Schizosaccharomyces pombe: one gene and its partner. The protein of the gene in region 2 purifies or fractionates together with the protein of the main gene of each other region. This does not show direct contact. Each region holds a gene or a part of one and is shown on either strand. Other genes may lie near its edges. The genes, in order: fal1 and rns1.

Region 1 (16,552 bases), on a different chromosome or scaffold from region 2:
AAGGATTGTGCGAAGAGATAGAACTGTTGTTATCCAGATGATGGTTCAGTTGTGTTTGATTCTCGTGGTCATGTACTTGAGGCTCAAAATCCTCAGGAATTGTTTGAAAAGATGATTCTTCAAACGAACTAGGAATGTAAAAGTCGACAGGATTATTTCTAGCATTGTTTTGTACAACGGATAAAGATCCATTGTCGATTGATGCCATTCTTCGTTTCCCAAGAGCTGGACTTAATGCTTCAGTTCTGTCTTCATTTTCTTGAGAATTTCTAACACCTGCATAACTAGGGAGAGCGGGCATGGTATTCCCGCGAAAGAAGCTTGGGCGATCGATTGCATTAGCAAATTTCCTTAGACGAAAATGGTGCCTGTGATGTTTTTCATTCTCTTGGTGTTCAGCTTCCTCAGCCTTAGTCTCTGGGGCAACTGGCCGGTGCATTTGATTACCCTGGTCTAACAAAACCCGAATTTTTCGATTGCCAACTTTGGAAGGCTCTGGAGTATCCCTTCTTCTTACAGTGTGATAAGTATATGTCATCCTAAGTTTATTATTTGTTATGACCATGTCATATCGCTTGTTATAGAAGTACAGCTTAAACAAAGTCAAGCCCAGGTTCACAGTAATTGGTGTACTCAAAACTCCAAAAAGGAGAATAGTTAACTAAAAAATAGTTAAAAAATTTATTTAAAAATATGCATACCTGTTGGTAAATGGATATCTGCGTGAGGTCCACAGGCTGCAAGCCAGTCTGAGTACAAGAACCAGAAGCCAACAACAAAGCATCTATGTAGCGCAAATTTCCCGACCCATACAATATTACTGAACATAAAATAGTCATTCCTATTATAAAAGAATCTTGAACAAAGTTAGGCTTGAAAAGAAGTTTTTCACATACAATGGTATTCAAGGAACCGGAACCGTTTGTAGAAAAACCCGATAACTGCATGATAAAATCTGTATAATATTTTCCTTCTTAAAAACCTTCTATATCGTACAAACATGTCATAGTTTATAAAGCAGTATTATATTGTATTTGATAAAAATTACACTCACGTCGATTTCAAATAGCTTCAGTGGCTTCTTGAATAGTGCAGTTTTGCGTCCTCACTATACGATTCACCTTGAACATAGCAACAACTAAACAACATCTGACAGTAATCGTTCTGTGCTTTTTTACAGCTGTGTCCAAAATCTCGTAGTGTATCAAGTTTGGTTTCAAAGATTTATTAAAAAGTATCTGCATGGACCGAACTTTGTTATGGAAGACGGTTTTGAAAAGTCGCTCAGCAGCTCTATAGAGCTACTGAAAGCTGAAAGTACAGGTATATAAATTTTTGTAGATATTTTGATTCATTTTTTTATTTTATACTAACTTTTTTTAAGAAATAGAAGAAAAAATCAAACTAACTAAAATTTTAATTACTAAGGTTTCTAGCATATCTTCAGACGCCTCGCAGCTGTATGCAGAATTAATTCCACTACTCTTGGATTTTTTACGAAATACAGAGGTGAATCTTTATAGAAATTCTTCTGTCAATGAACTCAAGATCGAAGCATTGACTTTAATACAAAGTTGCGCTCACCGTGATGAATTTAAACAATATGCGCAGTCTTGTGTGCTTTCGTTCATTAGCTTGATTAAAGCAGATAATGAAGAAGTCGCTGTTTTTTGCTTAAAAGTTATTATGGATATATTCAAAACTTTTAAGTTTTGTATAGAAAGCACTGCACAACCCTTTTTTGACTTGGTACTTGAGCTTTCTACAAACCTTCCTTATTTAATTCCCTCAATATTTGTCGAGAATCCAAAATCAAATGAAGAGGAAAATACAACCCTGGCTTTTGGTAGTTATCTGTCTACGGAAACTTCAATCATCCAACAGCGTGTCAATTCTTTAGCTATTTCTACTCAACCTTTGGAACTGGCTTCTCAAAGTTTCCGCGTGTATGTAGAGTGTCCGGTCATTATAGTTTTGATTCTTCAAGCATATCGTCAAGCTGCTTTCCCTGGTGTTCAAGCCATAATTCCCTGTTTTCTTAAGATGGTACAAATTGATGTTCCAATAGACATCGCTTCATATGCAATGATTGAAAAAGATTCAAGCATTGACTTTATTGAGTTTATAAGGAATAAATATCAGTACCGTAATTTTTTTATGGCTCAAGTAAAGACTTTATCTTTCTTGGCTTATATTTTACGAACTCATCCCAATACACTTTCTGAGAAGGATATAATACCGGACATTGTAATAAAGCTTTTGAGGCGATGCCCTTTTGATATGTGTTTTGCCCGTAAAGAACTGCTGGTTGCTACGAGACATATTCTGTCAACAAACTTAAAATCTCTTTTTGTCAAAAAGCTGGATTTTTTGTTAGATTTAAATATATTATTAGGAAATGGAGTTGGTACTCAAAAGCTGTTACGTCCCTTGGCATTTAGTACATTAGCTGACTTACTTCATCATGTACGTGACGAACTTAACGAAACGCAAATAAGAAAATCTATAATGATTTATTCGACCAATATGCATGATTTGACTCTTAGCATTGGGTTACAGACTATGGGTGCCCGGCTCATTTTAAACATGGTTGACAGAATGATTAGTCTTCCTAGCATCCCCGATGCTATATTTCTTCTTTTATCTATTTTTGATAGCTTTGTAAATAAGTTTTCGGAACTTAATGATAGTTTGGATCAGTTTTTTAAGAAAAAGTATGAAGAAGAAATTAAAGAGACAAAGTCACCGACGCGTTCTTCTCCTAGGGATTTATCTTCATTTAGCACTTCCGTCAATGATGGATCATTTCTTTTTAAAAACTTGATGTTTGGCTTACGGGCTCTTATGTATGGGCTTCGTACATGCAAGTCTCGATGCATAGAAATTGGAGGTGAACAATTTTCGGGATTCCTTACGAATATCAAGCCTTTCGAAGCTGTTACGTTTCAGAAGCTTTTTTTTGAGGTTGGCAAAGGATTCTCATATTTTCGACCTGAGCAAGTCTATTTAGAAACTTTTTTCTGCTGCGAAGAAGAAAGTTTAGATCGCCCTGCTATATCTACGCTTCCTCGTAACAAAGACGAGAAAGATTGTCTTGAAGTATTTGCTACCATTTTTATACATCTCGAGCCATCTATATTTCTTAAAGTTTTTGAAACAAACCTTCCTACTTTTTTTGATCAACTTAAAAAAAATCTCACATTATTTCACATTCCACAGTTTTTGCTTTCAAATGAGAGCACATCATCAAAATTTTTAAATATTTTACTTCGATTTCTGCTTTCCAGAATTGAGGAACTCGGATCTTCTGACATCAGGCATGGTTCTGTCTTGTTGCGTTTGTTTCGTCTTTCTTTCGTTACAGTCTCAATGTTTGCAACAGAGAATGAGCCAGTTCTTCGGCCTTATGTATCTGAAATTATTGTGAAATGTATGAAGTTGGCTCCCAATTCTGCTAATTCATTGAACTACTATTATCTATTAAGAGCGTTGTTCCGAGGAATTGGTGGGGGAAGATTTGAAAGCCTTTATAAAGAAGTAATGCCTTTGTTGCACGCTCTATTAGAGGCATTTAATTCATTGCTTATATCTGCCCGTACTCCGAAGGAGAAAGACCTTTTTACCGAACTTTGTCTTACTATTCCTGTAAGGCTTAGTCTTTTATTACCATACATGAGTTATCTAATGAGACCTCTCGTCATGTCTTTAAAAAGCAGTCAAGAATTAGTTAGTCAGGGATTACGAACCTTTGAATTATGCTTGGATAATCTCACTCCTGATTTTTTGGATCCGATAATGGCTCCTTACATAGAAGATCTAATGAATGCTTTATGGAGTCATCTACAACCTCTTCCTTATAATTATAATCACAGCCATACTGCCTTGAAAATACTTGGTAAACTTGGTGGAAGAAATAGGAAGCTTCTTGATAGAGTCCAGAGTTTAAAGAATTCGCCGGAACCGAATAACGATTTTACTTTACTTCTTTCGATAAAAGGGGTTAAACAACCACAACTTTTACATTACACCCAATATGTTGATGAGGCTGTGAATTTGCTTTCTAGCCCTTCTAGTGATCTGGAGGTTAAGCAACAAGCGTTCACTTATGTTTGCAATATTTCAAAGCTCTATGTTTATAAGAGTGACGCTACTAACAGCTTAGCCTCATCCATTCGATGTACTGCAGACAAGATTTCTAAGAGTAATTTTGATTTTCGACGACCATATTCTGTAATACCGAGCCGAATGACTGGAAGGAGTTCATTCACCCAACTGAGTGATGATTCAGATGAAACCATAATTTTGGCCTCGGCTACATATGGACTTTTTTTTGCTACGACGGTTGATGAACTCCGCGAAGAAGCTTACTTCTGGCTTGAAAAACTGGCGGTCAACGTAATTGTACACGATATTTTTTATGCTTTTGACGTTATTCAAGGAAATCATTCAAAATTTACGACTAATTTGCAAAAGGAGGTTATTATTAGTCCTCATTATTTTGCTCATTGTCTATCAGAAGTCGTTTGTAATGACAATAGCAAGATGGGTGATGCTGTGAAACATGTACTTAAATTTATGTTTAGTTTTTTAGAATCGATTTTTGAAAATCCAGAAAGGGCTTTTATCCTTCCAATTTTTGAGGTCTTATTATCTGATTTCCGGCACAAATGTTATGACCCTCATTGGTATAAAAAATACGGAGGCTGTTTTGGATTGGAATGTTTGATAGAGCAAGATCATTCTTCTAAATGGCTTTTTGACAGACAAGTTGATATTTTAACTGCGCTATTTTTTACATTGAAAGATACTACCTCAGAAGTCCCTACTGTCTGTAAGGATCACGTGATGGACGTTTTAAAGCAGTTATTTCGAAAAATATATGCTTCCAAAGATACTGAAATTGCTCCCGGAATTTTAGGGCATCTAGTATTGGAATTGTCAAATCATAATTCTGTGGTCCGTTCTTCTACCCAAAAATTGCTTTCTTTATTGTCGGAACTTTCAAATACTCCGATTGTTAAACTAGTTTCACCTTTCAAAGAAAGACTTCTCTCACCAATATTTGCAAAACCTCTTCGAGCATTACCTTTCCATATACAAATTGGACATATCGATGCTGTAAATTACTGCATAAGTCTTGGAAGTGAATTGATTACTTTTTCCGACGAATTAATTCGTCTTATTCATGAAACCACTGCTTTAGCAGAAGCGGACGATGATGCTCTTATTGGAATTGGTAAAACTTCTCACTTCAAAAACGCTGCACTTCTTATACGTTTGAGAGTAGTATGTGTAGAATTACTCAGTACTTGCATTTTGAAGATTGATTTTAATAACCCTCAACATGCACACTTACGTGAAGGAATTATTGTTGTTTTTTTTAAATCTTTGTATGCAAAGTCCAAGGAGCTTATTGAAGCGGCATCATTAGGTCTCAAGAACGCTTTGCAAGAGGACCAAAAGTTATCAAAAGAATTGTTACAAACAACTTTGCGTCCAATACTGTATAATATATCTGACTATCGAAGGTTAAGCGTTGCAGGACTTGAAGGTTTGGGAAGGCTGCTACGCCTCCTCACAAATTACTTTAAGGTCGAGATAGGAAGAAAATTACTAGATCATTTAAAGGCTTTACTTGAAAATGTTGATTTCCAAAAGGTGTCTAGTCTTCCTTTGTTTTGTCAAACTGAAATGAAAATTGTTCGAGCTCTTATTGATCTTTTTCATTTATTACCAAATAACGCAAATAGATTTATGGATGAATTGTTAATTTGTGTTGTAGAATTTAGTCTGAGACTACAAAGAACCTTTCCTAATTATTTCAGTGAACCTTTGCTAAAATATGTCAATAGATATCCCGAAGATGCTTGGAAATTTTTTATGGTTAGATACGATGAGGCCGCTTTTACGTCTGTTTTTGTTGAGTTACTTCGACTTAAAGATTCAGACCCCCTACTTTCAGTTGTGAAGGATAATTGGTTATTTTTTCAGACCATTTTAACTAACGAAATCAATACTGTAACTGCTAACCGCTATTCATTTGCTTTGGACTCTGCCATTGTAATACTACAACGTGATCCTTCTTTCTTCAAAGATAAAAATGACTTTTTTAGAGGCTCGATGGATGCCGTGCTAGCAATAAGCCATCTGGTTGAAAATGAGTCCATTTTGGAATCCATGGTTTTTTGGAACGACCTGTTGGTTCGTACCTCAACATTTTTGTTGGAAGTGTATGATTTATGCATATATAATTATGACGATGGGCTCAAGTTACTGTCATGCTTTCACATGTATAAAAACTCATTGGCCAAGAACCTTGTAAGTGACCTTACGGCTCATTTGGTAAAAAAAATTGAAGAACCTGATTTAGAGAACAATGTTAAATTGATTTTAAACCTTATTTTATCAAAAGACTACGGGTTTTTATTGAAGGAAAACTTGGCTGGCATTCTTCTCACGTATCTCAATCAGAATGTGTCTTCTCTTGAAAAATGTAATCAAATATTTTCTATATTTTACGAAGTTTTTTTCCAACATCCTTCCACTAATGTTTATGCTAATGATGAGGGAATAAAAATAGGCGCTTTACAAATAATTTCTTTTTTTTTAAAAAATGTCCCAGAAATTACTGTACAGCATCAGACTGAAATGCTTAAGATGTGCAGTCTCTTTGGAAATTCAGAGGACGTGATGATTAAACAATTATCGATTTATGTCATGTCTTTATTCATTTTACGATCACAATTTCCGTACGAGCTAGTAAACGTTGTGTATATGGCTCTTTTGAAAAGTTCCCCTATTGAAGTTCGACATTTGGTAAAATCTTCTTTTGACAACATATTTTCGTACATATTTTCTGAGGAGCCAGAAAGCAAGAAATCACCTATCTGGTTTGAATTGCCTTTACAAGTTATTAGCAGCCAAAGTCAAAATATTTCACAGCTGCTCAATGTTTACGATTTTATTAGTAGTCACTCCGATATTTTTATCGAACACAGGGGAAGGTATGTTCCGATTTTAATTGATTCTTTATACAAATTTGGAGCCATTCCGAACCCTAATCCTGAGATTCGCGCTCTATCTTTAGGCTTAATTAAGGTTTTACTAGAATGGAATGATCTCCAACTTAAAGTTGACCAGAAGGAAATTTTTTCAAATAACCAGAAGAGAGCTATATTGAGTTACCTATTTCGTTTTGTGTGCCTTTTTTCTGAACCCTTCACAGAAGGTTTGTGTTCCGAAGCTATTTCTTTACTAGAGCGTTTGCTTTCATCCGGTACATGGGCAAGTTTAGGGATGAAACTATCTTTTTTTACGAAGAGTATTACTCATTTTGATGCTACTGATGCCAATTCAGTGATGTTTGCCAATTCGCTAAGAACCCTGTCAATCGTGGTGGGGCACTCAGATTCTGCGTGGATAGAAGAAAACCTTTCCGATTTGAAGTTTTTATTAGAAAAATCTTTAGAAAATGAATCAGTTGGTGTACAGAGTGCAATTGGAAATTTTGTTTCAACTATACTAACGCTCTCCAACACTCATCCTTCAATTGCGGGAAATCCAATTTTCAACGACATTTGGACGTCTATTGCTAGTTGGACAGAAAGAAGGCTTCAGAGTTGTTCCCAGATAGAAGTGACCTTACCTTGTGTTGAATGTTTCTTTAAGTATAAAAAAGATGCTTTGCATACTCTTTTACCAGGTTTTATGCGTTGCTTCCATAAAGTTGCCAAGGAGTTTCTTTCGTTAGGAAGTCAGCCATCAGGAAACTCACTTAACCTTCAGATTGTTAATGCTGTTGATGAACGAGTATCTATTTTAAAGTCAATGATCGAGTTGGGTTGTTCTTACATCAGCTATCTTGGTGATCAAAGACGATGGTTTTTAAGTGCCTTGGTACAAATAATTGAAAAATCCTCAAGCTACGAAATTTGTAATTATCTATTGGAAATTGTGCGAGGTTGGATTATGAATTCTCCGGTTCCTGTTCCAACGGTGAAAGAGAAAGCTGCTTTACTATTAAAAATGGTAACCTTTGAAGGAAGATTCAGCCAAAATGAACAAAATGATTTATTTAACAAATATTTATCGTTTATAGCTGATATTTACGAAATGGAGCCATACAAAAATAGTGAGTTGACGTTTCGATTAGAAGCAGTGTATCTTCTAGGTACTCGAGTTGCGAATAAGAAATTGAAGGAAAGGTTTATAAAAGGCTTAAATTCTAGTTTCCCATCTGATCTATTTTCTCGTTTTCAATTTCTCTTGGGAAGTCAACATTGGGAATCACTTTCTAATACTTACTGGATCGTTCAATTGAACATTTTTTTAAGCCGTTGCTTTGATTTAAACCAAAGATGTCAATTTTATAAAAAGCCCAAGTTATTTTCTTGTTTTTCTATCTACTGTCGAGAATTCGATGAGGATTTGACTTCCCAAGCGCAAGATACCGAAATGTTACATAACAATTTACTAAAGTATGGAATAATTGATTTCAATCAAAACAGTATGCTAGTCTCTGATTTTGTACTTCCAGTTTTGAGCTTACAGTTTTCAAATTCAAAAATTGCGGAGTACTTATGGCGAGATTTTTTTAATGCTTCAGTTTGCAGCTTTACAAAGGATGAAATCCCTTTGTGTATTGGTTCAATAATTTCTTTTCTTTCTCGTGAATATCACATCAGGCTTCTTGGGAAAACACCTAATGTCTTGGAGACCATTTTAACGTCGATTGTATCCTCGGACATGCCTATACCATTACCACCTCATCTTCTTGTATATTTGAGTAAGACATATGGATTGCACCATTATTGTATATTATTACTAGAAAATTCTTTGCAAAACAATCCAGGTCTTTCTGAAGATGAATTAACAGTGTATCATAAAAGTTGTCTTGATGCTCTCAGCGATATCTATTATAGCTTGGATGAACATGATTTGTACCATGGGCTTTGGAGAAGACGTGCGAATTTTTTGGAAACCGAAGTTGCAACTTCTCATGAACAATGCCATGAGTGGGAAAAAGCTCAATTGGTTTATGAGCATGCGCAATTAAAAGTTTGTACAGGAAGTTTACCGTATTCACCTACTGAACATGGATTTTGGCTGGATCATTGGATTTTATGTGCTCAAAAGCTAAACCAATGGGATGTACTTTTTGATTTTTCAAAACAAGAAGGATGTGCTGAACTTTATCTAGAATGTGCATGGCGCTTATCTGACTGGAGTACCGAACAAGATACCTTAGAAAAGGCTACGAAGTCTTTATCTCCTTTCACAAGCCTTAGGCGGCATACTGCTGATGCGTTGTTATACCTAAATAAAACCCAGAGGAAAATGGGATCTGTTACAGAGTTTTCTAGAATAATTGACGAGTGTATGCAATTTTCGTTGAGGCGTTGGCAGCAGCTACCCAAACGCGTGTATCAATCGCATGTTTCTCTTCTACATCACTTTCAGGAAATTGTAGAGTTACAGGAAGCTTTTGGTATATACAGCCAGTTAAATGATACCAACATTCACAATATTGACAATAAGTTGCGGGATATAAAAGTCGTCCTTCAAGGTTGGAGGGAACGTTTGCCAAATGTTTGGGATGATATTGATATATGGAGTGATTTAATAGCTTGGCGTCAGTCAGTTTTTAAATCAATCAACAAAGTGTTCCTTCCTCTTGTTTCAATTGCTCAACAGTCAACAAACAAGTCTAATACAAACTCGGTTTCTTACCTTTATCGAGGATACCACGAGCTGGCCTGGATAATAAACCGCTTCGCTCATGTTGCCAGAGTTCATCATTTACCTGAAGTTTGCATCAATCAGCTGACAAAGATATATACGCTACCAAACATCGAAATTCAAGAGGCTTTTTTGAAATTGAGAGAACAGGCTGAGTGTCATTACGAATCTCCTTCTGAAATGCAGCTGGGTTTGGAAGTCATCAACAATACAAACCTAATGTACTTTCGGAATCGACAGAAGGCGGAATTTTTTACTCTAAAAGGGATGTTTCAAAACAGGCTTGGAGAAAAAGATGAAGCAAATCAGGCATTTGCAACTGCTGTGCAAATAGATATTGGTTCAGGAAAGGCTTGGAGTGAATGGGGATTGTACCATGATGAACTATTTCAGGCAAACCCTCAAGAGATCCATCATGCTTGTAATGCTGTGAGTTGTTTTTTACAAGCATCTTCTCTGTTGTCGAGTTCTAACTCCAAACCCCTTTTAACACGTGTACTTTGGTTATTGTCGGTAGATGATTCTCACGGTTCTGTCTCAGAAGTGGTCTCATCCTTTAAGTCGGAAATTCCTACTTGGAACTGGATTCCGTTTATTCCACAGCTTTTGTCGGCCTTATCACATCGTGAATCAATCCATGCAAGAGCAATTCTTATTCAAATTGCTAAAACATATCCCCAATCTCTTCATTTTCAGCTTCGTACCGCGTATGAAGACTTCCTAATGCTTAAGAAGCAACAGGCGGCAAATGTACTAAGGGGAAATAGTCGTTTACGTGAAAACGATTCTTCTTCGGATAATAAATCAAAAGATCTCTCTCCTTCTGGCTCGTTTTCAAGCGTTAGCCAATTTAACAGTAAGAATGGAAGCCCTTCCTCTATAGACTCTTCTGAGAAACACCAAATATCAACCGTCAAACCTGCGTGGGAGCTAATTGCTGATGTGACATCTATCCTTAAAACCGCATATCCGTTGCTGGCTCTTACTATGGAAACTATGGTCGACCAAATACATACCCGACTAAAATCATTTCCTGAAGAGGATGCCTACAGGCTCATTGTCGCTCTTCTAAATGATGGCCTTCAGTACATATCTCGTTTAGGCGTTGTATCAAAAAATACATTCCAGCTACCTATGTCTCAAGCCAACATTCAACGATTTGCTGAAAACGTTCTTCCTGTATCAGTGCGAGAAGCATTTTTACGGGATTTTGTTGAAACAAAATTAGACTTATTAACATATGTTGACAAATTACGTATGTGGAGAAAGAAATTTGAAAACATACTGGATCAAAGACCTAAATTTCTTCATTTGGAACAGTGTAGTTTATACTTGAGTGAATTTCAACATCAAAAGTTTGACGAAGTTGAGATTCCTGGTCAATATTTGCTCGATAAAAATAACAATAATGATTTTGTACGATTGGAACGTTTTGTTCCAAACGTTGATTTGGTACGAGGCCATACTATGTGTTATAAGCGACTTACTCTTAGAGGATACGATGGAAAACTTTATCCTTTTGCATTACAATATCCTGCTACTCGACACAGTCGACGTGAAGAGCGCATGCTTCAGTTGCTTGGCACGTTTAATACTGTATTACGCTCTAAAATAGAAATTCAGAATCGAAATTTCAGTTTTCAAATACCGTCTTCAATTCCTTTATCATCACATATGCGGATAATTGCTGATAAGCCTTCTTATGTTACAATGCAAACTATAAGTGATGAGTACTGCAAAAATAGGGGGATGCCTTTAGATTATGGAATTCGTTTTTATTTTGATAGATTGCAGACTGGTCTTATTCAATTGAAGCGAGCTAGTGCTTCTATGCTTAGCAATAGTACGGTGGAAGAGAAAAAGCAAATATTTCGTCAACGAGCGTTGCAGTTGCGTATGCAATTACTCGAAACACTGAATTCATCAGTTTTCCCTGAAAGCATATACTATGACTACTTTTATAAAACCTTTGAAAGGTACTGTGACTTTTGGTTTTTCCGCAGGACATTTACAACGCAATATGCTTACATGATTATTATGACTTATGTATTCAATATTGGAGGTCGATCCCCTCAAAAGCTGTTCATAGTGAAGGATTCTGGCCAGGTGATGTCGCAAGACCTTTTACCTTCTATGACTTCCAACCAACCTGTATTTCACAATACTGAGGCTGTTCCGTTTAGATTAACGCCTCCAATACAATACCTCATTTCTGATTTGGGAGTTGAAGGATTACTTTCGGGATTAGTAATGAGCATTGCGCAAAGTCTATCAAGTCCTACTACTGATATAAAGCAGTATCTAAGTCTTTATGTTCGTGATGAAGTTTTCTGGTGGTCCAAGCAGCAAAGAAAGCCAATTCCTCAGGGAATCCAGCTGTTCGAAACCGTGAAAGTAAATGTTGAATTATTATTTCGTCGAATATCGGTCATATCTCATAATGTACCAGAGGACCTTCCACTGAATCAGACTTTGGTGGATTTAGTATCTCAAGCAACTAATCCTCAGCAGCTGGCGCAAATGGATCAACTTTGGCAAGCTTGGCTTTAACAAATTGCAAATCAGTTTTGAGGTTTCATCTAATATTGAATTGCTACGAATGCTCAGATTATTTATTATTAGGAGAAAATGCTAATACTTTTCTTTTGCAGGATCTTACAACCAAAAAATTATGATCTAAATGACACCAAAAAAATACGCATAGAAAGTTTTGGGTAACATAAATGGAAATTAATTTAAATATACAGTTATTATTTTAAAGTTTTCCCCCAAATCTGTACAATAATCCAAAAAAAACCAGCTTTTTTTTTCCAATGGAAAATTTAAACCATATCTCCTATATTCATAGGCATTTCATCTATAACAGTAGAATAGTATTGTTCAATATCCCGAAGAATGCGTACATCTTCATTTGTAACAAAATTAATAGCTACACCTTTACGACCAAATCGTCCACTGCGACCAATGCGATGTATATAGTTTTCTCGATTTGCAGGAAGATCGTAATTGATCACTAATGAAACTTGCTGAACATCAATTCCTCTTGCCCATATGTCTGTGCATATGAGAACCCTACTATTTCCTTGTCGAAAATCTTGCATGATAGCGTCTCTTTCTTTTTGCGGCATCTCACCGTGCATACTGGTAACGGTAAAGTTAGCTTCTCGCATTTTCTCCGTCAACCAATCAACCTTCCTACGAGAATTGCAAAATATCACAGCTTGTGTAATGGTTAAAGTATCATATAAATCACACAGAGTATCAAACTTCCATTCCTCTTTTTCAACTGCTATAAAGTACTGTTTTAAGCCTTCAAGAGTAAGTTCATCGCGCTTGACCAATATTCGAACAGGGTTAGTGGTAAACTTGTTAGTCATTTCTAACACGTCTTGAGGCAAGGTAGCACTCACAACTACCACCTGTGTACCAGGGGGTAAATATCTATAAATGTCATAAATTTGTTCCTTAAAGCCTTGATTTAAGAGCTCATCCGCTTCATCAAGAATAAGCATCTTAACATTGCGAGTTCGCAAATTTCGTCTACGAATCATGTCCGTTACGCGCCCAGGAGTGCCAGAAACAACGTGTTGTCCATAATCCAATTTTTTGATGTCATTTCCAACGGATGTGCCGCCTATACAAGCATGACATTGAACGTTCATATGGTCACCCAATGCAAGTACAACATTCTGGATTTGAACTGCCAATTCTCTCGTAGGAGAAAGTATTAAAGCTTGAGTATCTCGGACTGATAAATCGATCGACTGAAGAATACCAATAGAAAAAGTTGCTGTTTTCCCTGTACCAGATTGAGCTTGTGCGATAACGTCTCTCCCTTTACAGATTTGAATAATCGCCCGGCTTTGCACAGCACTCGGAGTCTCATAGCCATACGCATAGATTCCACGAAGTAAATCCTCTGCATGTTGTTAGAACAAAATTATGGAAATTTTTATCAATTCATTAACTAACCTTTAAGATTCATTTCCTCAACTGCAAAACAATGTTAGCATCATTCACAGTAAGTATTCATATTATAAAAAAATATAATTTACTTACAAGAGGATACAGCATTCACATCTTCCGATGTCGTAAGCTCCACGTTCTCCATTATTTCGTCCGCCATAATGGAAGTTGTAGTAGTTATGTTATGTCAGCCCAACTTGAGGAAAATGAAGGAGAGAAAATTTGACAAGCAAATAGAAAGCTTGGTTAGTTACAAAAATAAAAGAATATTCCTTTAAAAAATTTCAATTGTACGGAAAGCTTTATTAAATATTGACAAGAAGTTTAGATGAACTTATTATTCACATGTTGTTTATTTTCAGTACTCCCAACTTGTTAGATAATGGTATAAAAAGTAAACTAGCGGTTTCTTAGAATTAGACATTACACGAAAAAATTATGAGAGTCTTACATTAATTTTCTACAACTGGAGCAATGGTTGAACACCACCCTTAAGAGTCTAAACAACATTTCAATTCGTCCTAGAATTGTTATACTAATTTCCGTTTTAGCAATCTAAGTTCTCCTAGCACTAACATGCAAATTATCGGCTAGTCAAAACCCATTATCAATTAATGTTTCCTAACCAGAATTGCCCACCACTTCGCATAAATTCAGTTATACATTTCCATGCTAAAAATTACCTAAAATCACTCTCAGATATTATAAATGCTATACACAGTTTACATTTGTGAGCGTTGTCATGAATCTTGTAACCAATGTCATGTTCGCTTGCGATAAGATTGCAAATTGCAATTGTAAGACTTAATCTAATTAATTAAGAATTACTTTTCATCCACTACTGTTGACGTCAATTGACTTCTCTTTTCATAACATTTCTTTGTTTTTTGCATTCTCTTTGTTTATAAATGGGGTTTCTTTGTTTATACATTTGAGCTAAAATGTATAAAAGAAGCATGTATACCAAAACTATTGCATCGTTTTCAAAATGCTTTTAAGTGTAAGAGGCGTGCCGGTTGAAATTCCATCTCTCAAAGATACAAAGAAAAGCAAGGGAATCATTCGATCAGGATGGGTTATGCTGAAGGAAGATAAAATGAAGTATCTCCCTTGGACTAAAAAGTGGCTAGTACTTTCTAGCAATTCTCTGTCGATATATAAAGGAAGCAAGTCTGAAAGTGCTCAGGTTACGTTGCTGTTGAAGGATATTCAAAAAGTAGAGCGTTCAAAGTCTAGGACATTCTGCTTTAAATTGAGGTTCAAAAGTAGTACCAAAAATTTTGAGATTCAAGCTTGTGAATTGTCCGTGGCCGATAATATGGAATGTTATGAGTGGATGGATTTAATATCTTCTCGTGCGCTTGCTAGCAAAGTTTCAAGTCCGATGAATCCTAAACACCAAGTGCATGTGGGAATTGATAATGAAGGAAATTATGTCGGATTACCCAAGGAGTGGATATTGCTACTTCAGAGTAGTTCGATTACCAAACAAGAATGCATGGAGGAGCCGAAAGCAGTTATTCAAGCTTTGGATTTTTATAGTAAGCAGTTGGATACAACAAGCGAAACTAAAGATAGTTTTTCATTTTGCAAAGAGACACTGCCACGATCCTCTACTACATCGTATTCTATTCGCGATGCTGACAAACATCATAAACTCACGACATCTGGAGTTACTAAAATGAATATTACTGAAAGATGCAAGCCGAAGACAACCATACAGACGGATAAAAAGCATATCATAAGGCCTTTTATTGAAGACAAAAGTCATGTAGAATCTATCATGACCGGAAAAGTAACCAAAGTACCGGTCAAAGCAGATTCAAAGAACACGTTGAGTAGAAGAATGACTGATAGACAGGCTTTAGCCATGTTAAAAGACTCAGTTACTTCTCATGATCCTGTCGAATATTTTAATGTTAAGCATAAACTTGGCCAGGGTGCATCGGGATCTGTTTACTTAGCCAAAGTCGTCGGAGGAAAACAATTAGGTATTTTTGACTCAGTTGCAATAAAAAGTATTGATTTGCAGTGCCAAACAAGAAAGGAACTAATCTTAAACGAAATCACTGTCATGAGAGAATCGATTCATCCTAACATAGTGACATATTTAGATTCATTTCTTGTTCGAGAAAGGCATTTATGGGTTGTGATGGAGTACATGAACGCTGGATCTTTGACTGATATTATTGAAAAAAGTAAGCTTACAGAAGCACAAATTGCTCGTATTTGTCTAGAAACGTGCAAGGGAATTCAGCATCTGCACGCCAGAAATATTATTCACAGAGATATTAAAAGTGACAATGTTTTACTCGACAACTCTGGAAATATTAAAATTACTGACTTTGGATTTTGTGCTCGATTGTCTAACCGTACTAATAAACGAGTTACGATGGTTGGAACACCATATTGGATGGCCCCTGAAGTAGTAAAGCAAAACGAATATGGGACCAAAGTTGATATATGGAGTCTTGGAATTATGATTATAGAGATGATTGAAAACGAACCGCCTTATCTCAGAGAGGATCCAATTCGTGCATTGTATCTGATAGCAAAAAATGGAACTCCAACTCTTAAAAAACCTAATTTAGTTTCTAAAAACTTAAAATCTTTCTTAAATTCCTGTCTTACAATCGATACCATTTTTAGAGCTACTGCTGCTGAGTTGCTGACACATTCATTTCTTAACCAAGCATGTCCGACTGAAGATCTAAAATCTATCATTTTCTCTCGCAAAGCGAATACCCATATTAATTAGGTCCAAAATTTACTTTTATGATTATTTGAATATTTTTAACGATCCTTAATGATATACAACTTGCTAGTTTTTTAGAAATTTCAATTAACT
Region 2 (10,635 bases):
CAGCAGAGGGTGAAGTAAAGAAATCGTTTGAGAATGCTTCCCAGAGTTAAAGGATTAGAAGTGGTAAAAATTTGCATTTGATTGCATCATTTTGTTGGTTGCAGAAAAAGCATATGTTTTTAGATATTATAATTTGCGCTTGCATTTGGTCATTATTGTATTAGTTGAACGATTTGGTCTTTAACCTCGAGTTTCGAGTTTCCAAAATTCTTTTACACCGAAAGCTCACCAAATTCTTTTAGAATGCATTGCGTATCGCTCCAATGTCAGTAGAGGGCTTTTTGGAACTGGTAAATCGTCTTTCGAATTGTTTAAAAAATCCTTTGTTTTCTTATCGATTTCCTGTGATACAGTTAGTTACCTGATTTTAATGAAGTTTATGTATGGCTTGTGTTGAAACTTACTATATGACCACGGAAAAAATTATTGGCTTTTCGTTCTCTTTCCCATGAATTTATTTTTTCTTCTCTTTGTTGCATTGATTCATATCGAGATTGTGTAATTGCTAATATAGCTTTTCCCAACAACAATTTAAGCATAATAGCCATGAAAAATAGAAAGGCAATTCCTGATTTACCTCTTACAACTGAAAGTAGTAATGTCTCCCAAGAAGCTTCTTTTCCTGCATTATAAGTATTGGCTTCTTTATTCGGAAGATAATAGACATAATTATCCTTAGTAGGAAAAATAGTGCCGATAGATTTAGCAATTTCTTGTTTCATTGAATGGGTTGAACGAAACATGCTCCAAGTTTGCATGGAAGTTCGAATAAAAACGCAAACTAATGGTAAAACTGGAAGACCCATTCTTCTAGCCACCTGTTGAGAACACCCCGTCACCGTCTTTACCAATGTTAGTGTTATTGTCAAAAATGATAATTAGTGTATTATAACTTACCTGGGTTAGTTGAGCACCCGAAGCAACATAATCATGACACAGAACATCAGTAAAACGCGAATATATCGAAGGTTTTATATAATTGAACTTTATTATAAACGCATGCTTGAGCCAATCGACGAACAGTTCAGAACCTATAACCCAAAAAAATGGTGCCAACAAGGTCTTAAGCCTTTTAAAAGTTAAGAGGGGTTGATCTAACGAAGAAGTCGTGTACAGTTCTGCAAGATTTCTCAAAAATATTATGATAACCATAATGGTAATCTGAAAACGTTCGACTACGTCTAAAATTAAAGTTAGATGATTTAAGCTAATTACAAAATTACTTACCAGAGCAAGTAAGTTGAAAGAGGTTTTCTTTTTCAAATTTTTTGAAAACTGCCCCTTTAATTTCAACTAACTGATTTGACATTAAAAGTGCAAGGACAGCATTTGAATATGAATTCACTGTAACATTTAGGGTGATGATTTGATACAGAAGAACCAATGTATGTAAAACCATGTACGCTAGAGAAATTGCAAAATAATAGAAAAATGTCATCCAGCCAGCTGGATTCCAAAAATTGAAAGAAAGAATATGATTAGAGAACAAACAGTCAAGAACATCCTGACCCAAAGCGCAACACAATCTGTCCGCAATTTCTAAGACATTATACAAAACATAAAATCGTATACTAGCCTGAGCACGTATAATATGGTAAAGCCGACTAACGTCAATTTTTCGAATGAGAATACTAGTAGAGAATATTAAAAGAAGTTTTAAGAGATCAATTTTTCGGCTCCTAGGTAATGATCGGTTTGGTGAGCTATTACGATGGAAAAAAGTTGAAAATAAACCCTGAAAAATGCAACGGCTTAGGGTAAAAAAAGATATTAAGACCCGAATGGGAAATAATGTAAAAATATAAAGGAAGCTGTCGACACTAACAAACCATCCAAATAAAAATGTCTTTTCAATTGCATATGGTGTAGCCAGAAAGTTTTCAACATGCTTTTCTTTAATAGGATTTGCGGGCACAGTATCATTAGCCAAAAGCTCAAAGCATATGTAATTCCAAAAGTTTTGAATTTGAAGTTTACTCGCCCGTAATCTGGAAATGGGTTTGTCTTGGTTGCCAGTTACTGTGGGCTGATCATTCGTTTTACTAAAGAATGTCGTAGAATAGGACCTAGTAATAGGAATAACGTTTTTCTTAGCACTAGTAGAAGCTGATCTTCTAGGATATTCACTTGAAGAACTTCGTTTTGTCAGTGCATATCGGGATTTCGGAAGAGGAACAGCAAGAACAGGCTCGTTTAGATCAGGTTCTTCTTTCTCTGGTATAACGGATTCATTGTCTTTTCCTCCGTCACGTTTATTTGGAAGAAAACGAGAGGTTAACGATGATTCATTTTCGGATTCAAGTGGGTCAGCTTGTCCAGGTGAGGTATTGCTACCCATGGTTTTTTAGCTTTTTTAGGTAAGGTTAAAAGGAGATTATGGGGATTTGGATTTGTGGAGATGTTTCAGCTAAGAAAATGTGTTGATTCCAGTGTAGTGAAGTTTTAATCGAAATAAGAACGATATTTCATGAATTGTGTAATAATCGTTCGTTTGTTTAGAACCAAAAACACATAATTTTATTTTCAAGTCTTGATACTGTTTCCGAGTCTCTTCAATTTACATTCAACCTTGACTGCCAGATACCAAAGTTATATAATCTTACCACAATGTTGGTTAAAGTAAGTACAGGCAAAGATACCAAAAAAGACACAAATCAGTTGAATTATTGCGAATAAAAATTATTTATTCTCTAAATAATGTTGATGTTGAATTGTTGACATAGGTTACTTTAAGATATTTTCAGACTGCGAGTTTAAAAACAAAATCGATTGACATCGGTATATTTTCTATTGGACCTACGTAAATGAATAAATTACTATAAAAAACATTTCATCTCATTCAAGTCTTAAACTGATCCCATCACTTTATTAAAAGTAAAATCTTCTTATTTTTTTCATTCACGACACTGTGTTTATACGAATTGTTTTATAGGGAATTTTGGCAGTGATTATAACTCAATTTGTAGTTACGTATAAAAGTGTTCTATTCTTTAACAACTTCGAATGTTTGCCTGTTTCTTCTATTTTTTGTATGATAAAATACCACTTTTCGGTAAAATGAATAGTATTGTTGGGTCTTGCTGCTTTAAAAGGGTTAACCATTTAAAGCGTATTTAAGAACTTCGCATTTAAAATATGCCAAAGTATATTAATTGAGAATATGTATAAAAGATGTAAAGGTAATAAATATTACGCATTATGGTAAAAATTGAATTAAGTTGTACTATGGTTCTTACTGTATTTAATTATCTATGACTGTCTGGGAGAAAAACCTTGCAAGTGGCCTAAACTTTTTCATTCAGTCTCTATTAAATGATCTGTCGATTTCTCCACATAAAGTTAGTTTATTGAAATGCTAGCGGGAAACATGGAACAGGCGAATGTTTTTCGTTTAGAAGAAAAACGCTATAAATGTCGTGCCGACACAATTCCTGACATGTCTGAGGTCCTTGATCCTAATGATCCCCAGTCTTTTGGATTTGAAGCTTTAGTTGAAATTAAACCTAGAGTTTTTTCTTTTCAAAAAGCTCCTGGATTATTAATTCTTAAAAACTATGTTTCATCGGAACTGCAAATGCAGCTGTTAAAATCTATAATGTTTACGCAAATTCAAGATCCTGAAAACAAGACCAACCTTTCACCATTTTATCAACTACCATTAGGTAATGATAGCATATGGCGCAGATATTACAATGGTGATGGAGAAAGTATCATTGACGGCCTTGGAGAAACTAAGCCTTTGACGGTTGACAGACTAGTTCATAAAAAGCTTCGATGGGTTACACTAGGTGAACAGTATGACTGGACGACGAAGGAGTATCCTGATCCTTCCAAATCTCCTGGGTTTCCCAAAGATTTAGGTGACTTTGTTGAAAAGGTTGTTAAAGAGAGCACAGATTTTTTACATTGGAAAGCTGAAGCTGCAATCGTAAATTTTTATTCTCCTGGTGACACATTGAGTGCACATATCGATGAATCTGAAGAGGATTTGACACTTCCATTAATTTCTCTCTCAATGGGTTTGGATTGCATATATTTGATCGGTACCGAGTCGAGGTCGGAAAAGCCTTCAGCTTTACGTTTACACAGTGGAGACGTTGTAATTATGACTGGAACTTCTAGAAAGGCTTTCCATGGTAAGCATTGTTCATTCAAATACCTCATTTATAGTCAATTGATTGCTTACTAACTTACCGCAGCTGTTCCTAAGATTATACCCAACTCTACGCCTAATTACCTATTGACTGGAAACAAGGCTTGGGATGGATGGATTTCAAGAAAGCGAGTGAACTTCAATGTTAGACAGGTTAGGCCTTCTAGATAATGTAAATATGGTTATTTTTAATAAAATAGAAATTGTTTTTAGGGCTTAGGAATGATTGATACCATAATTACATATATATCATGTGCTTACTTGTTTTGTCAATATTTTGTTCCTTCTATTGAACTTTCGAAAAATAATTTTTTTATTTAACACTGTATTAAACCACCAAACAATAAGAAACAATTTTTTCTTTAATTTGTCAGTTAATAACTTTCGGCGTAATATAACCAGAACAATTCATTAGCGTACTTTCACAAATTAATTTGACAAATTAAACAATTGTGTAATCCCATTCTTAAAAAAACATAAACCTCGACATTTCCAAGCTTGTTTAGAGAATTATCGTGAAATTACTATCTTGCAGTCCGGAGTTTACTCAATATATTTCAGTTGCTTATTTCCATACAACTACTAACTAGCGAATTCGGTACAAAGCATTTGTCAATTTGAAAAATGAGGGAGGATTTGTTAAGAAACTCCGTTGAATTTTTAAGAGAAAAAACTGTATTAGATGCTCCTGATGTGAAAAAGATTGAATTTCTAAAATCCAAAGGTTTAACTGCCGAAGAAATTCAAGAAGCATTCAAGCTAGCAAAAAATCCGCTATTCCCTTCTTATCCTCGATTTGAAAACACTAGTAATTTTGTTTCAAGAGATTGGAGAGATTGGTTTATTATGGGCGTTATTTCGACTGGATTTGCATGGTCGGCGTATTCATTAGTAAAGGTACGTTCAAAAAACTGAACATTTAAAATATTCGTGCTGTTTTAACATAATTAAATTTAGAAATACATAGCACCAATGTTTCGCGCACCATCTCAAAACGCTTATGAAGCTGATAAAAACGCTTTGGATGCTAAATTTCTAGAAGCTCATAAAATACTCGAAAATTTAGATGAACAAACAAGAAAGCTTTCCGAGAGAACTGAAAAACAGCAAGATGAATTGGACATTGCGTTAGATGATTTAGAAGAGACGTTGAATACTTTGAAGCGTACGTCCGAAAACCGAGATCGTGAAATAGCTAGAATCTCACAAGATGTATATACCATGAGTACTATTACTTTACCACAAAGTCTTGAGCAAATTAAGAAATCTCAAGAAGAAGCATTACAAAACCTTTCGAGAGAAATTAGCTCTCTACGATGTTTACAAACTGATTCAAAAAAAGACGACACTTTCGCTACCACATCAAACTCTTCGATACCAGTATTAGAGAATCCTTTAGATACTTCAGAAGGTTTTCAAACTAAAAAGGTTGGTACTGCCTCCCTTCCAGATTGGCAAATATCAATGCATAACGAGGCTTCTAAAAACATTGATTTCAATGATATTGATCCCGCAGAGTCTTACGTTGCAGAAGATGCTTATTGACAGTAATAAAACAAATCACTAATAACAATTAAATTCAGGATTTTTTCTAGAATAATACTTAATGTCATTTAACTGGTCTGTCAAGACGCATCTTAATCATTTAACAATCTGCATTCTGCATCAGCTAATAAATGTATATTATATAATAAAGGAGAGTCAAGTAGATATAATAAAAAGCAAGTTTGCTGCAAGGTTAAATGTAGTATCTTACATCACAATCTCACCAACCAAACCAACCTTTATTTCTTTATGAGGAAGTACAAGGCAATTTTGAACGCGTACTTCATCATGGACTATACAATCGGCGCCCATAACAGTAATAGCTTGGACTTTAACGCTGTTACGCATAATCGTAGTGGAGTGCTGGCTTGGAAGAGTTGGAGAACCTTCGACTCGAGACCATTTACCAATCTTGCAATGGCGGGAAAGAATGGAATGTAAAACAACAGCATTGGCAGAAATTTCGCAATCCTCTTGAATAATTGAGTTTCGAATACGTGCGCCATCCTCGATGCGAACACGAGCACCAATTGAAACATTGGGTCCAATCTTTGCACCTTTGCTAACAATAGCATTAGGATGAATAAAAACCGGCTGAATGATCTCAGCCTCAGTGTCGGGTTTTGGAAGAGTACCATCATGATATGCCTTTTGTAAATACAAGGAATTAGCAGGAACAGCAGAGCCAGCGGTTTTTATTTGACGCCAGAACTCAGGAGTATTATAAGCATAAATGGCTTTAGAGGAATCTGAGCACAATGGAGCAAGCACATCGGTCTCCAAACTGAGGTAGTCTTCCATTCCTTCATCCAAGGACCTGAGTTGCTTCTCGACCTCCTCAAGTCTACGCTCGTACGCTTTTTTGATTTCATCGAATATAGAGGCATCAAAGATATAAATACCACATGAAATAATATTTGAAAGATAGGAGCTTGGCTTATCAACATAATGAAGTACACGCCCAGTACTTGGTTCCTCTACAAGGCAACCGAAGTTAGAAGCATCTTCTTTACTAACCTTAGTAGCCATTAAAGTAACTAAAGCTTTCTTCTCGTGATGAACGTTTAACAATTCTTGTAAGGGAAAACTGCAACACACATCCGCATGCATAACAAAAACATTAGAAGTATGTCCTTTAAGGATTTGATCACGGAAATGGTATAAGCCGCCACCAGTTCCTAAGCAGTTGTATTCACGGAGATACTTGATACGATTGAAACTGGGGAAATGCGAAGCTACTTCGTTGATAAAATCTTTGAAAACGCTTTCATCGTAGAAACCAACCAAAAAGACATCTTTAACACTTTCAATCTTGGATAAAGCCGCCAAATGATGGTAAATCATTTCTCGTCCTCCAATTTTAAACAAAGGCTAATTTAGTTAGCAAAATAGCTCTTATGTTTCAAATGCAACTAGAAAGTAAAACTGGATTACGTATTTTACCAACATATAAATTCTAAATAAGACGTACTTTAGGGACATCAAACGAAAGAGGGCGGAATCGGGTACCACTGCAAAGTAATTAGTTACTGATATTCACGCGTTTAATAGACTTATTTTTCGTTGGTACGTACCGAGATGGACCCCCGACCAGAATGACAGCAGAGGAAATCATAATAGCAATTTAATACTAAAAAATCAATAATGAGTATCAAAATCACCAAAAACGAAAGAGATATACGCCTCTTGAAACTTGGTGTGTGGTTCTGTGCAAGTCCTGTCCAGCTCTCCTTTGTTTAATAAGGAAGGTAGCGCTATGAGCTAACTTCTGCCAGTTCATATTTGCACTTAATAGCCTGGCTGCAGAAGATAATACTCTATGTAACAATGAAATACTAATGTAAATCAATTTAGTTCAAAAACCCATGATCTAAAAATTGTGCTGCAGGCTGAGGCACTTTGCCAGCCGTGAGGAACTTAATGCTCATCATCAGCTGTTTTGCAGAAAATAGTAAAGCACCTTCTAGCTTTGGTACAAATTATAATGCATTAAAACTTAAATAAATAAAATTTACTAATTGAATTTTCGAGTAAAAGTAGCCTTTTTAAAAATTTGTTCTCTTTAATCACCTTTATGAATTTACCATCAACTTCACGCACTACGCTGGAAGATTGGACTCTCGTGACAAAGACTTAATTGCTCATGAAGGGGAAATTTAGGTTCTCTTTAAAGCGCGGTGTATGTTATATATGAAATTATTGATTTTTTCGCTTTTATTAATACATATCTAGCTTTTGCGTCCGTCGTGGAACAAATACAATATATACAACATTGCAAGAAAACAACTACCTGCTCTGAATAATAGAACTTTATATCAAAAAAAATGGAATGCGAAGAAGGAAACAAGGTCTTATCATGGTCCTCAATTACGCGAATATCAACTGAAAAATGCCTTCCGCCCAAAATTGGAGGGGGTTATTTCTTCCTTAGATAATAAGCTTCCCATCCCTTTTATGAATCAGACTTATGCATTTTTGGAATCCCGTTTAGACATGTCTATTCATCGAGCGTTATTTGCGTCTAGCGCTTTACAGGCTCGCCAACTGGTGCTTCATGGAAAAGTGCACGTAAACGGAAAACCTGAACGCCGTGCCTATCGTCAACTCTTACCTGGTGATTTAGTAACTGTTGATCAAAAATCAGTAATGAATTGTGTTTCTGCCTCTAGTAACAATACCCCTTCTATACAGGATGGGAAGCAAACTGAACAGGTGTCCTCTAAGGATGGAGAAAATGAAAAAAAAAAGGATAATGATGATGATTTATTTGAACAGACTTCTAATGGAAAGTTGCCCTCTATCAATGAAACAATTTCCAACTTTGTTCCTAAACCGTTTATGTCACTAATGGCATTTATCCCTGCTTATTTAGAAGTTTGCTTCCGCACTTGTTCCTTTGTTTATGTGCGTGATCCAGTTGCTCGTCCTGGCTTAACGGAAGTTCCTTCTCCATTTCCTGAAGACTTGCACGCTTTAGCCTATACATACTATATCAGAAGTCGTAATATGCGGCAAGGAGCAGCTAGATGTCAGGCCAGACGGCTTATTCCGCAGAAAGTACGCGATGCATCATTTTATCAAGGACCTCCTGAATTATATAAAAAACGAAATGTTTCTCCCAAAGAAGCATTCTCTCATCGGTATCCAGTTCGTCAAGGAAAGTTGACGAAACTCGTATAAATCGAATAAATGAACTCCTCTCAAAAGTTTAGTAATAAAATATAAAACATTCTCAATTATGCTTTTTGTAATACTATGTTGATTTCCACTTTTGTTTTCCTGCTCTATGAAGTAACTGCCCTGTCTACTGCTATCCACGTAACCAAATCTTATACACATACAAGAACTGGCACATCTTTTTTCATGTACCAAAAGGAGGCCTTTTATCGTGGACGTAGCTCAACAAGACAATTTAACAATACCCGATCTCCATCTGGACGTTCAGCGTCGCGTTCTTCCAATTTCTCACATCGGTCTAGTAGTCGTGATTCTTTTTCCTCGAATAGATCTTACTCGAGTTCGCTTTCCAGATCTCCAGAAGAACCATTGCGAACAGTACGTTTTCCATGTATAATTAGTTATTTAAGGCATACTAATCGTTTCTAATACGATGCAAAATAGATTCTTGTGGAAAATTTGACGCGTAATGTCACTAAAGAACATATAGCAGAAATATTTGGGATTTATGGACTAATTGATCATATTTTCATGCCAATTTATAAAAAATGTGAGTGAGCTTTTATTTTTTATGAATTACACCCACTAACTTTGCAGCTGAATTGAATAAAGGGTATTGCTACATAGAATACGTATACCATGACCAGGCCGCAAACGCCGTCGATAAGATGAACAACGCTGAGCTTGATGGTGAGGAGTTGTTTGTATCGATAAAACGTTTTCCTTTTGAGTCACTACACAAAAACCATAAGCACTACGAAAACTCGTATCGACCATCAAGGTCACAAAACAATTCACATTACAACGATAAATCGTTTCATCGCTCCAGATATTCTCGGGCACGTAGCCGATCTCCAGGTTCCAATATATCTGAATATTCTGATCAATCACCCCCCTATCACTCCTATAGACATCGTCCTTAATCCCGCAAATTGTGGCCTACTGAATAAAAAAGAAAAGTGAAAACAAATTTCCAGTTTGAAAGCTTTATTATGTCGTTGTTTGATACGTACCACTACTATTAAAATTTTTGTGAACGGTCGATCCTCTATAAATTATTTTTTGGGAAAATTTTACGAAGTATTTATCGGATGTGCAATTTTCATTGTTCTAAGTCCTATTAGAATTTAAAAGTGTTCGTCGTCAAATTCATAACTTTTCGGTCGGATTCCCACCCTTTGTAGCATAAAGAGAATGCAACGACGGAAATCTGTTTTTTTAAAATCATTGCTTTTATAGTAGTCCGGAATAATGAAATTAAAGATCTTTCCTGTTTGACCCATTGCTCCAAGTCTTCCAGCTATATGCTGATAAGCAACACCAGAAAAAGTACTCCAAAGATGAAATATGTGTGTAATTGAGGGTAAATGTAGGCCTCGAATTTCAGAAGGGTTTGCAACAAATACAACGTTATTAAGGTTAGTAGAAAAATTTAGCGATTCAGTCGACAGTGTTCGACATTGCCAAAAACGGTTACCCACAGCAAACCCTTTATATTGGTTGCAAAAAGAGTGAGGATTAAACTCTTTGGGAAGTACAATCATAACACACTTTAAAATGTTATTCTCGAGTTTTGACTTCTTGGCTTCTATATTTAATATTCGAGGTACTGATTGTGCAAATATTTGTAAGACAGCCTCTGAATTGTTGTATGAAAAATTGTTGTCACCAATACTATGCATAGAATTATTGAATCGAACAAACTCATATGGCAAATTTGTCAAAGTGACCTTTGTTGTTTTTGGTTCAGCTTGAGCTTT

The links.
Region 1: the proteins of rns1 (region 2) and fal1 purify together in Schizosaccharomyces pombe (affinity purification with western blotting, with the first as the bait; one study listed by BioGRID). This does not show direct contact.

Annotation. Positions count from the first base shown.
Region 1 is NC_003424.3:258,460-275,011, forward strand, and holds fal1 (ATP-dependent RNA helicase), read right to left. Parts: upstream 13,884-16,552; 5' UTR 13,865-13,883; coding exon 13,798-13,864; exon of another isoform or gene 13,732-13,797; coding exon 13,711-13,731; exon of another isoform or gene 13,658-13,710; coding exon 12,561-13,657; 3' UTR 12,434-12,560; downstream 1-12,433. Other genes in the region: plasma membrane potassium ion transmembrane transporter Trk2, read right to left, coding at 1-661, 702-856, 897-1,002; phosphatidylinositol kinase-like protein Tra2, read left to right, coding at 1,260-1,323, 1,385-12,288; PAK-like kinase Shk2, read left to right, coding at 14,693-16,462. UniProt on the Schizosaccharomyces pombe protein: ATP-dependent RNA helicase involved in 40S ribosomal subunit biogenesis. Required for the processing and cleavage of 35S pre-rRNA at sites A0, A1, and A2, leading to mature 18S rRNA.
Region 2 is NC_003423.3:3,726,495-3,737,129, reverse strand, and holds rns1 (putative RNA-binding protein), read left to right. Parts: upstream 1-9,018; 5' UTR 9,019-9,061; coding exon 9,062-9,253; exon of another isoform or gene 9,254-9,319; coding exon 9,320-9,425; exon of another isoform or gene 9,426-9,472; coding exon 9,473-9,798; 3' UTR 9,799-10,002; downstream 10,003-10,635. Other genes in the region: Fe-sulfur cluster assembly protein Isd11, read left to right, coding at 1-50; SPOM_SPBC13G1.05 (folding protein), read right to left, coding at 226-342, 405-842, 898-1,181, 1,228-2,338; abh1 (alpha-ketoglutarate-dependent dioxygenase), read left to right, coding at 3,368-4,136, 4,200-4,324; protein Pex14, read left to right, coding at 4,778-5,050, 5,111-5,698; mpg2 (mannose-1-phosphate guanyltransferase), read right to left, coding at 5,906-7,069, 7,170-7,209, 7,273-7,313; nam9 (mitochondrial 37S ribosomal protein uS4m), read left to right, coding at 7,842-7,877, 7,931-8,878; mrh5 (RNA helicase), read right to left, coding at 10,003-10,635.